3 linked regions of the Macaca mulatta genome follow. The protein of the gene in region 1 purifies or fractionates together with the protein of each later gene. This does not show direct contact. Links are inferred from orthologs where the notes say so. Each region holds a gene or a part of one and is shown in the gene's direction. Other genes may lie near its edges.

Region 1 (4,141 bases):
TCCCAGCACTTTCTCTGGGCAGCTGAGGTGGGATGACTCCTTGAGTCCAGGAATTCAAGACCAGCTTGGGCAACAAAATGAGACCCCATTGCTACAAAAAGAAAAATAAAAAAGTTATCTGAGCAAGGTGGCACATGCCTGTGGTCCTACCTACTCAGGAGGTTGAGGCAGGAGGATTGTTTGAGCCCAGGAGGTAGAGGCTGTAGTGAGCCATGTTTGCACCACTGCACTCCAGCCTGGGTGACAGTGAGGCCGTTTCTCAAAAATAAATAAATAATAAATAAAAAATAAATATTTAAAAACCTTGTTTTAATATAAGTTGGACAATTTATATATAAGAGCATTGGCTATAAATGTATGAAATTTATTCTACCTCACTATTATTCTTTTTTTTTTTGAGATGGAGTTTCGCTCTTGTTGCCCAGGCTGGAGTGCAATGGCATGATCTCAGCTGACTGCAACCGCTGCCTACTGGGTTTAAGCAATTCTCCTGCCTCAGTCTCTCCAAGTGGTTGGGATTACATGTATATGCCACCATGTCTGGCTAATATTTTTTTTTTTTTTGAGAGGGAGTCTTTCTCTGTTGCCCAGGCTGGAGGACAGTGGTGTGATCTCAGCTCACTGCTTCCTCTGCCTCCTGGGTTCAGGTGATTCTCCTGCTTCAGCCTCCAGAGTAGCTGGGATTACAGGCGTGCGCCACCATGCCCAGCTAATTTTTGTATCTTTAGTAGAGATGGTGTTTCACCATGTTGGCCAAGTTGGTCTCAAACTCCTGACCTCAAGTGACCTGCCTGCCTCGGCCTCCCAAAGTGCTGGTATTAGAGGCGTGAACCACCGCACCTGGCCAGAGTCTCTCTTCTTGATTACCTCAGCCAAAGTGTTTTCTGAAATGGTACCACAGATATGTGCTTCCAGTTCCGTTTGTAGTAGAGGGCATGGCATGTACCGTCATTCACCCTGCCTGCTCCATCTGCATCCCCCTCACATCCAGCAAGTTTTCCTTTGCATAGGGCTTATTGCTCCCCTGCTGATCACCTGCCAAAGCCTTCTCTCGGAGTTAACATCCTTGCCAAGGCCTAAGTGGCTTTTGAAGATCAGGCCCTGCTTAGCTCTGGGCTCCCGTCTTTCTTTTGATGTCCTCTCTACTTTTCTCAAACCTGTCAAAACTGGATTCGGACTCTGTGGCCCTGGGGTTGGAAACATGCTTCGTCTGCATCTTCCCAGGGTGGCACTTAGGCCTGCACTAGCTAAGGTAGCCCTGCGGCAAGGTCCAACCCTGCCTTATTGTTAATTTGTTTATTGTCTGTGTCCACTAGAGCTGGGGTGAGGAGGGCAGCCAGCTCAGACCTGGGGAGGCCTGGGAGGCTACGGCATCTTCGGTGTTGGGCAGTGCTGTTAGAAACCACGAACATTACTCATCTGGCAGCATGTGTGCACATGGGGTGAGCCGGGGGTCTCCTCGAATGCGGCGTCTACGCCCGGGGATTGGACGCACTGTTACCGATTCTGTCCTGGGAGATTCAGCGGTAACCTACCGGGCAGAGGCCGGCACGCACCCGTGGAGAAGCCCGCGCTCGCGATTCCTCCTCGTGCCAGGGCCCCAGGGCACGGAAGGCCCACCGACCGTGAGGCGGGTCAAGGGGTACACAGGGTGCGAGTTCGTTAGGCAAAAGCTGGGTACAGGCGCGAGCCACAGGCACGGGAACCTCGCGCCGACCGGGGCCCTAGGCCCGACGACCGCAGGTAAGGGGAAGTGGAGGCACACATGGCTGGGACGTGCCCCAGGCACCATCCGGGTGGCTTCGGGCGCGGGACGTCCGCAGCCCCGCAGCTCCCAGGACGCTCGACCATCTGCGGCTGATCAGCTTCGGCCGGTTTGGGGATAAAGGGGAGACAGGCGGCGCGGGGAGTGGGAACGCCTGAAGGCCGCGCCTCTCCTTTCAGGTCGGCCAGGAGCGCACCGGTAAGAGCCAGGGGGTAAGGGGTAGAAAGACGCCCACCTCTTCAACCCAGAGCTCGGGACTCCTATACAGTCCCATAGGGAACAGGCGGCCGCCATTCCCCTCCCCCACGCTGGCGGGTAAGGCTAGAGAACGGTTTCAAGGAAGACGCATGCGCATGAAACAATTATAAACCGCTAAGACTCCCAAGTTCAATATTCGCGGGAAGGCGCATGCGCAATAAAAAGCCCGGCGGGTTTATGGGTGGGGGTGCTGCGCCCAAATCCCAAGCGTGTAATAATCCGCCGGCGGACGGTGGGCTGGCTCTTGAAACTACGCATGCGCCAGAGCTCTTTGTGACGCAACGGGGCGGTGCGGGCAGCTGGCTGCGCGTGCGCAGAACTCGCACAAAGGGCCTTATTTAGGTTGCGCAGGCGCCCGCTGGCCATTTCGTCTTAGCCACGCAGAAGTCGGGTTTCTGGGTGAGTCTCGGTGGGTCCTCGCTTGCAGTTCACCGACCACCGTGGGCGCCGTTTTTGCGAGGATTGGTTGTCCTCATACCTCTGGGAGGGCCACGGGGACCTTGGCGAGCTGCGGGCTGCCATCGAGAGCCGCGAGTGGTTCGCTGAATGTCGGCACCGCAGCTGAGGCCTGCAGGCCGCGCCGACTCTATTGTGTGAGAAGTCGGAGGAGGCGGAGCGGAAGCGGCCGCCGCCATTTCCTTTCCTCCACGCTGGCTCGGCCCGGGCCCCCACGGTTCGGGGCGCCGACGGTTGCTGCTCAGAACAGCTTTTGGGGGTCCGGCCGCCGGACGAGGAGGTGTTGGGTATTGGAGCCGCCGGGGTGGGTGCATCCCCCCGGTTTTTGCTTGGTGGGGGGGCCGGTGCGGGCCCGGGGGCGCCTCGGAGGCGGAGGACAGCTTAATTGGCGCTCTCAGGTCTGGTCCTCCCCGCCTTGCAGTTTGTTTCGACGCCGGACCGCGTAAGAGACGATGATGTTGGGCACCGAAGGCGGAGAGGGATTCGTGGTGAAGGTCCGGGGCTTGCCGTGGTCTTGCTCGGCCGATGAAGTGCAGAGGTTTTTTTCTGGTGAGTTAGAACTAGGACGCGGGAGTTCGAGTTCGAGGCCGGGGCGGGCGGGCTGGCGGGCAGCCGGGCTGGGGCGGGGCGGGGCGGCGGGACCCGGGGCGCCCCCTGGCGAGGCGCGGGCGACTGCACTCACCGCCGTGTGGCTCGCGCCCGGCCGGCCGCGGTTACGCAATGGAATTTTCGAAAGCCCCGCCCGTCCTCCTGGCCCTGCGGGGGGAGTGCGGCAGATCTGGCAGACCCTTTGATTTCTTTACTACCTTTGAACACCAACTTTTCTTTTATGGATGTCGTTTTTCTTTTTCCTTTGTGTTGGGAGTCTCTGTCACCCAGGCTGGAGTGCAGTGGCGCGATCTCGGCTCACTGCAGCCCCCGCCTCCTGGGTTCAAGCGAGTCTCCTGCCTCAGTCTCCCGAGGAGCTGGGACTAGAGGCGCGCACCACCACGCCCGGCTAATTTTTGTTTTTTTAGTAGAGACGGGGTTTCACCATTTTGGCCAGGCTGGTCTCGAACCTCTGGACCTCAAGTGATCAGCCCATCTCGGTTTCCCAAAATGCTGGGATTACAGGCGTGAGCCACCGCGCCTGGCTCCGGTGTCTTTTTGCGAAAAGATGAATTGGCATAGGTGGGTTTCCTCCTCAATCTCGAGAAAATTGCCGAGTAATTAGACCAATAATAGTAATGTTTTTCAGTATCTTGAAGTGTAATCTCTTGTTTCCAGTTCTGGTGTTTCCTTGAAAAGGAGCATTCTTCGGAAAGTTAAAATGTCACGTCTTAATTTCAGTTTTCCTAATCAAGATTTGGTAATTGAAGAGTGTGTGCTCATCTAGTTCTTAATTTGGCTGACTATACAATTGAAAACACTGAAACCCAGGGAAGTGTTTTTGCAGTCCCTAGGTTTCCTGAATATTTTCTATCAGAATGTCCTTGTTCCCATTATTAGACTGGGAAAAATTAGACTGATAAAATTCTACTTGTATGAAATTGACAGCTTTTGGCAAGACGTTTGTAGTGTTGACTTACTATCTGAATTTAGCATTGGTAACGGAAAACGACCTGTAAAACAAGAACCAAGTACACTGGAAGCCACCTTGCAGGGGGCAACGCTGGGTTTGGC
Region 2 (3,071 bases), on another chromosome or scaffold:
GGAGCAGACTCTGAGCTCAGACTGCAGTTTCTGATTGCTTGGCTTGAAGAGGCACTGTGTCTTGCACAATGATCCAGGGAAAGAAGTGGCTGTAACGGAATTATTTTCCCCAGCTCAGCCACTCTTAGCCACTATTTAGTGACTGTGGGCTGCGCACCACAGGCCCAAGCGTCCCATCCTGCACAGTGCTCCCACAGTCTGAGCCCCAGGGAGGGAGCTGGCTGTGCCACTTCACAGTCTTGTCCCACGTGGACCTATTAGTTCCCTGCTGATCGCCTCAGTCTGAAGAGCAGCCAGCTTCTTGGTATAGTAAGAAATCTAGTGTAGCCCTCAGAGTCAGCTGCAAGGCGTGCCTTAGGATTTGGTTTAATCACACATCAGTCTCCCTTTTTTCCTTCCTCCTTAGCTCCCATTCGATTTCACATGGAAGATGCTGAAGGACAAATTCAACGAGTGTGGTAAGTGTTGGGAACGGCTTTCTAGGTGCCTCCCTCATGCTTACTGGTGATGCAGCCAAGTCAGCAGCAAAGCCTCCCTCCCAGCCCCCTCCATCAGCTCAGGACCCATGGCCTTGCCATTGTTCTGCCCACGCCAGTGCTCAGGCAGGTTGTTGAGTGTCCTGTGATGTGTCGCACGTTTTTCACCTGTGTTCTCATTTCATCCTAATTTCCTTTTTTCTTCCTTTTTGAGGCTTTTGAAACAAGGTAGTAGTGTCCCCATTTCACAGATGAGTCAGTCTTCTCAGGTCACCTGGCTTCTAGGTGGCAACGCTAAATAAAAACATCCCAGACGAGGGAGGTAGCTTTCCCCTTAGCACAGCTGGTTCAGGGCCTCGGAGAGAACACCTAGCCCAGCAGGTGCCATGGGGAGGCGCTGCAGGCTCTGGGCACACAGCAGCTCCTGTGAGGATGAGGCTAAGGTCTCCTGGTTTCCTGGCACATCCTGCTACTCTTCTGGAGGGCTCCCTCTGTGGCTGAAAGCAAGTTGTCTTCCTTCCCTGCCCTCCAGGGTGAGCCTCCACCCCTCATGCACCACCTCTGTTCTTTTTAGCTAGAGGGGCCTGAGCTAGAGGACAGGGCGGCTGCTTCCGCACTGCCCTCCCGCTTCCTGTTTCAGCAGTGGCTCTGATTTCACCACCATTGCTGCTTCTCCATGGTTCTTGGGGCAAGCCGTTGAGTCATGACGTGCCTCTTTGCCCCGTTCTTTACCTCTTTCCCCCGTTCTTTACCTCTTTCCCCACTCCTGAGTTTCCACGTTGTAGCTAGATATTCTGAAAAGGCCAGTGGGATCACAGCATCCCCAACCCCCACTTTTGCAATGCCTGGAGGGGCCCTGTACCTTCAAGAGGAAGTCCAGACTCACAAGCCTCTTGAAGATTTGGTCCCATCCTCCTCCATCTCCCTCCTGTCCCAGAACCTGAGCGGCAAGTGCTGCACGTGTCCCACAGTGCTCTTGTGTGAGGCATTACTGGCAAGTCTTTCTGGTGAATTTCTGTGTAAGAACTTTCCCCTGAGGACCCCTCCACCCTACCTGCCCTGGGCCCTCTCAGGCAGAGTTCCTGCCTCTGGCATTGTGGCCCTAGCACCTTTGGCACTCCTGGAGTAGAGCCTTTGTCCTCTAGGGCTCTGACCTGTTTCCGCAGAGTTGACACATATCTGGATGCTTAACAGGTGCTCAGATGAATAAGTGAAACCGGCTGGCTTTCATTTGGACAGTACAGACGTGTCCATTGGATTGCGGATGGCTTTGTAACCAGGGGCAGTGGCGTATCAGAAATGAACACTTTGTAAAATATATAGCCAACTTTCTGCCTAGAAAGCTGGCTTTACTCGGCGCCCTCTTCTTTGAACTTTGTGAAGCGTCAAGGCGTGCATTGAATCCTCTAGGAAGGCTTTTCATGGGGCAGGGGCAGGCTCTGTTAGCAGAAGAATGGCAGTGTGGCCAAGGGCCTAGTCACTGGTTCCCACCATTGTATTCTGAGCCTTTGTGCTCCAGATATCAGGTTGTCTCTGGTTCTTGGGGGCAAGCCGTTGAGGCGGATTTTTTACTCTGTCCACCAAAATCTAACAATCGGGACTGAATGGAGCCCAGACAGGCTGAGCTCTGGGTTTGCCTGACAAGTGTGGTCTGTTCCCTCCCTGTCCCAGGCCACGTGCTGTACGCCGACATCAAGATGGAGAATGGGAAGTCCAAGGGGTGTGGTGTGGTTAAGTTCGAGTCGCCAGAGGTGGCCGAGAGAGCCTGCCGGATGATGAACGGCATGAAGCTGAGTGGCCGAGAGATTGACGTTCGAATTGATAGAAACGCTTAAGCAGTTGCCTTTTTTAAACATCGATACGAGACCTCTGAATTTGTATTTTTTCTTGTTAACCATTTTAATTTGTTGGCTGGATGTATAAAGATGTTTAAAAAATTCAGTTGCTTTTTGGGGTAATTTGAATTACTTTTTTAATGACTGGGGTTCCATTTGACTGTTTGCATTGAGATTGCAATGTGCGCAATTTTTTTTGTAGTTGTGGCATCTTGTTGACATCGAATATGACTTTGATAATAAATACCGGTTCCTGAAAACAGCCTGCTTGTGTGTGCTGTGTGGGCAACCACCCGAGGTGTGGGGAGCTGGGGTCACTCGAGGTTCCAGTCCAAGGAACAGGGATCTCATCCCCTCTCCTGCTTGTCTGAGGCCCCAGGGGTGAGTGCCTGCCCACAGACTGGGGGAGACTCTTCCCTGGAAACTGCCTTCCTGTGGGCTGTAATCCCTGGGCTGATAATGGAGCATTTGGCTGTTTAGAGCGCCCCGAGGCCAGGCGCAGTGGTTCGTGCCTGTAATCTGGGAGGAGGGCACCTGTAGTCCCAGCTACTCAGGAGGCTGAGGCAGGAGAATTGCTTGAACCCAGGAGGCGGAGGTTGCAGTGAGCGAGATGTCGCCACTGCACTCCAGCCTGGGCAAGAGTGAGACTCTGTCTCAAAAATGAAGAAAAGCCTCCCGAAAGCCATCCTGTCTCCCTGTTATGAGGTTAACACCCTGGGGCACAGACCCTGCCTCAGTCGGGCTTGTTCTCTGGCATTTT
Region 3 (3,500 bases), on another chromosome or scaffold:
AGTCCCAGCTACTCTTGACGCTGAGGTGGGAGGATGGCTTGAGCTAGGAAGTTGAGGCTCCAATGAGCCGTGATGGCACCACTGCATTCCAGCCTGGGCAACAGTAAGCCTCTGTCTCCAAAAAAAAATTTTTTTTAATTAAATTTAAAAACCTTGTGTCGTCGTGGGCTGGTGTTGCTGAAAATATTTTTTTTTTTTTTTTTTTTTTTTTTGAGACGGAGTCTCGCTCTGTCACCCAGGCTGGAGTGCGGTGGCCGGATCTCTGCTCACTGCAAGCTCCGCCTCCCGGGTTTACGCCATTCTCCTGCCTCAGCCTCCCGAGTAGCTGGGACTACAGGCGCTCGCCACCTCGCCCGGCTAGTTTTTTGTATGTTTAGTAGAGACGGGGTTTCACCGTGTTAGCCAGGATGGTCTCGATCTCCTGACCTCGTGATCCGCCCGTCTCGGCCTCCCAAAGTGCTGGGATTACAGGCTTGAGCCACCGCGCCCGGCCGAAAATATTTTTTTTAATGAAAAATAGACAAAAAACCTTGTGTTGTATTGTTTAAACTTAGGATTTCCCAAGCATGTTAAGTATATATTTTTATAGAACAAAGTTCCCCGTGTTGCCAACTCTCTCCTTCCTTTTTTTTTTTTTTTTTTTTTTTGTTGAGACAGAGTCTTGCTCTGTTGCCCAGGCTAGAGTGCAGTGGCACGATCTTGGCTCACTGCAAGCTCCGCCTCCCAAGTTCAAGTGATTCTCCTGCCTCAGCTTCCCGAGTAGTTGGGACTACAGGCATGCCACCACGCCCAGCTAATTTTTTTTGTGTTTTTAGTAGACATAGGGTTTCACCATGTTGGCCAGGATGGTCTCGATCTCCTGACCTCGTGATCCGCCCACCTCGGCCTTCCAGAGTGCTGGGATTACAGGTGTGAGCCACCACGCCTGGCCTCTCCTCCCCATTTTATAGATTGAGGAGTTGGCTTGTCCGATGGCAGAGCTGGGGCTAGAACCTAGGAAACTTGCTCCCAGGCTAGTCCTTTTGGTAAATAAGCAGCATTCCTTATCATTTGTGCCTTACTATTTGGAAAGCAGGGTCCCACTATTGAGAACTGATGGAGCCCGGACTGACCCCCAGTTTTGTGCTGCTCTTACTGTGTTGTGGCCCCCCAGTGCCTTTTCTTAGTGTATCTGGTTGATTTTGTCTAATGCCATTCTGGTTCATCCACAAAGTTAAATCCCCAGACATTTCTTGTGGGTGGCTCAGAACTTTAATGAATGTAGGTTAAACTGCAGATTTGTGTCAGGCTCTGTGAGACTTGTAGGATCATTCAGCCCCAGGAGAATATTTTCTGTGCCGTTATCCACAGACATTCATCAGGAGCCCTGTGTGAGCCCAACCTATTGCTGGGAACCAGGGAGGCTCTCTTCAGGATGGCTGAGCACCATCCCTGCCCTAGAGAACCAGGAGCCTTTTCCGAGTGATGTGATCCACATGCCAAAGCTGGGGAATGATCCAAAATGGTCTGGGGTTGAATGCAGAAATGAGTAGATGTGAATGAGCCTCGGCATCAGGGATTAACGCTGTGGGAGAAATTAAGCTAGCCTACATCTATAGTTTGCTCTTGGTTCGGCACTGATTCCTGGAGTCTGCCTGAGACTAGGACTTACCCATGGTCCACAGCACGGTATCCCATCCTGACTTTCTGTTAGTGGTATGACTTAAAGAGGTTATTGCACCTATAGGATGGCTTAACCGGAGTGATTCTGGCCTCTGTGGGTAGGGCAACTAAAGCCCGTAGAGTTAGCTGCAGGACCACAATACCCTGTTGAATTCATCCTCTCCCCCTCCCTTGCTACACTGAAGAAGCTTTGTAAGAACTGAGGTTCTTCGGGAGGAGAAATTGGAGAATGTAGGGTCATGGCATCTCAGATCCTAGCCCTGTTCTCCAGTACGGCCTCCTTGGTTGGCTCAACAGGCTTCTATTGAACTCAGCAAGCTGCCTGTGCCCAGCCCTTCATCACTGTAGTGAGGATCCTGCTCACATCTCCCAAGGGAAAAGGGACCAGAAAAGTGATAGCTGGGGAGCTTGCAAGTGTCTTGACCGTCTGAATTTGTCCTGACAATAGAAATGAAGACAGAGATGAAGCAAGGAGCACCCACCAGCTTCCTCCCGCCTGAAGCTTCTCAACTCAAGCCAGACAGGCAGCAATTCCAGAGTCGAAAGAGGCCTTATGAAGAAAACCGGGGACGGGGGTACTTTGAGCACCGAGAGGATAGGAGGTGGGTGTATGAGGCAGCAGTCACCCTTGCTCTGGTAGGTCTCTATATCCATAGCCTCGTGCTTGCTGGGGACATTTGCACTAATCTAGAGGGGCTGAGTAGAGATTCCCTCTGCTTTCACACTCTTTCTGTTCCTTCCTGTGCTTACTACCAGATTCAACTTTCCTAAACTTTTGGTCCTTCCCCCAGTTCCTCCCTTCTTACCTGCAGGGTAACTTGTAAATATCTTAGACTTTTCATGTGTGAGATGCCAGCCTGCCTTTTCTGTCCTTTGCCTTACTGCCCCTGCAGTCAGCTGCTTGATATCTGTAATGAAAGAAAGATCTGTTTCGTAACACTACTCCCAAACACACATCCTCTTCCCATTCATCCGCTCGTTCAGTCAGCTCTCATAGTGCTGTCACGAAGTGCCCACTCTTGGGCTGGACACTAGCAACATAAAGATGGGCAGTGAGTTTTGCCTTCTGTTGTTCCAGTATGGGGACTCAGACACATACATAAGTAAGCCACAACCTCTGAGGTGAGTAGTCAGGATGCAGGTAAGTTTCAGGAGCTCAGAAGAGGCAGCAGCCTCTGCTTTGGTCATTTCTCTTCCCTAACAAGCCCTTCCTTCCTTTCCCTCCAGACCAAGTCCTTTCCTTCCCTCCTTCCTTCCTTCCTTCCTTCCTTCCTTCCTTCCTTCCTTCCTTCCTTCCTTCAGCTCCTATCTGAAGCCTTTTGCAATTATGAAAACTAGCAATGGCCACTGTACTCACCTGGATTAGTCATCTGACACATTCTGTTTCCTATCTGGCAGAGTCCACCTTCTTACTAGCTTGTTACTCTCTGAGACAGGGCCTGGATGTCCCAGGCTATGACTTAAGTTAGGACATGGAGCCCACCTCATATGGTGTTCTTCCACTGCTTGCTACAGAGCAGAGGCCTAGAAGCTACTTGCTGATGGAGAGCAGAGGAAGAACACTCGCTCTGATCCTGGGCTGGCAGGGAAAGTTTCGTAGAATGGACTTAACATATGATGAGCACAGACTCATAAGATGAGTCTCATGAGTCTCCTTCATGAGTGGGACACTGGGCAAGTCATTCTGCTTCTCTGAGCTGCTCTTCAGGAAAGAGACTCATCTGTGTTAGCCCTGGCCTGGCGAGGCCAGAGGGGCCCTCCACCAGAGGGAAGGCTGCTGCTGGGAGAGTCAGCAGCCAAATGGGCATGGGCTCCCCATCTGTGCATGCAGTGCACTG

What was found. Proteins that work in one complex are often made in the same cells at the same time.
Region 2: the proteins of HNRNPH1 (region 1) and HNRNPM purify together in Homo sapiens (affinity purification with mass spectrometry; 3 studies listed by BioGRID and IntAct, with this or other methods). This does not show direct contact. The link is inferred for Macaca mulatta from reciprocal best matches to the Homo sapiens genes HNRNPH1 and HNRNPM.
Region 3: the proteins of HNRNPH1 (region 1) and HNRNPUL1 fractionate together in Homo sapiens (co-fractionation; 3 studies listed by BioGRID and IntAct, with this or other methods). This does not show direct contact. The link is inferred for Macaca mulatta from reciprocal best matches to the Homo sapiens genes HNRNPH1 and HNRNPUL1.

What each region holds. Positions count from the first base shown.
Region 1 is NC_133411.1:188,582,353-188,586,493, reverse strand, and holds the start of HNRNPH1 (heterogeneous nuclear ribonucleoprotein H), read left to right. Parts: upstream 1-1,341; 5' UTR 1,342-1,743; intron 1,744-2,387; exon of another isoform or gene 2,388-2,783; intron 2,784-2,900; 5' UTR 2,901-2,931; coding exon 2,932-3,028; intron 3,029-4,141. UniProt on the Homo sapiens protein: This protein is a component of the heterogeneous nuclear ribonucleoprotein (hnRNP) complexes which provide the substrate for the processing events that pre-mRNAs undergo before becoming functional, translatable mRNAs in the cytoplasm.
Region 2 is NC_133424.1:9,338,229-9,341,299, forward strand, and holds the end of HNRNPM (heterogeneous nuclear ribonucleoprotein M), read left to right. Parts: intron 1-406; coding exon 407-458; intron 459-2,147; coding exon 2,148-2,311; 3' UTR 2,312-2,571; downstream 2,572-3,071. UniProt on the Homo sapiens protein: Pre-mRNA binding protein in vivo, binds avidly to poly(G) and poly(U) RNA homopolymers in vitro. Involved in splicing.
Region 3 is NC_133424.1:52,414,172-52,417,671, forward strand, and holds part of HNRNPUL1 (heterogeneous nuclear ribonucleoprotein U-like protein 1), read left to right. Parts: intron 1-2,110; coding exon 2,111-2,264; intron 2,265-3,500.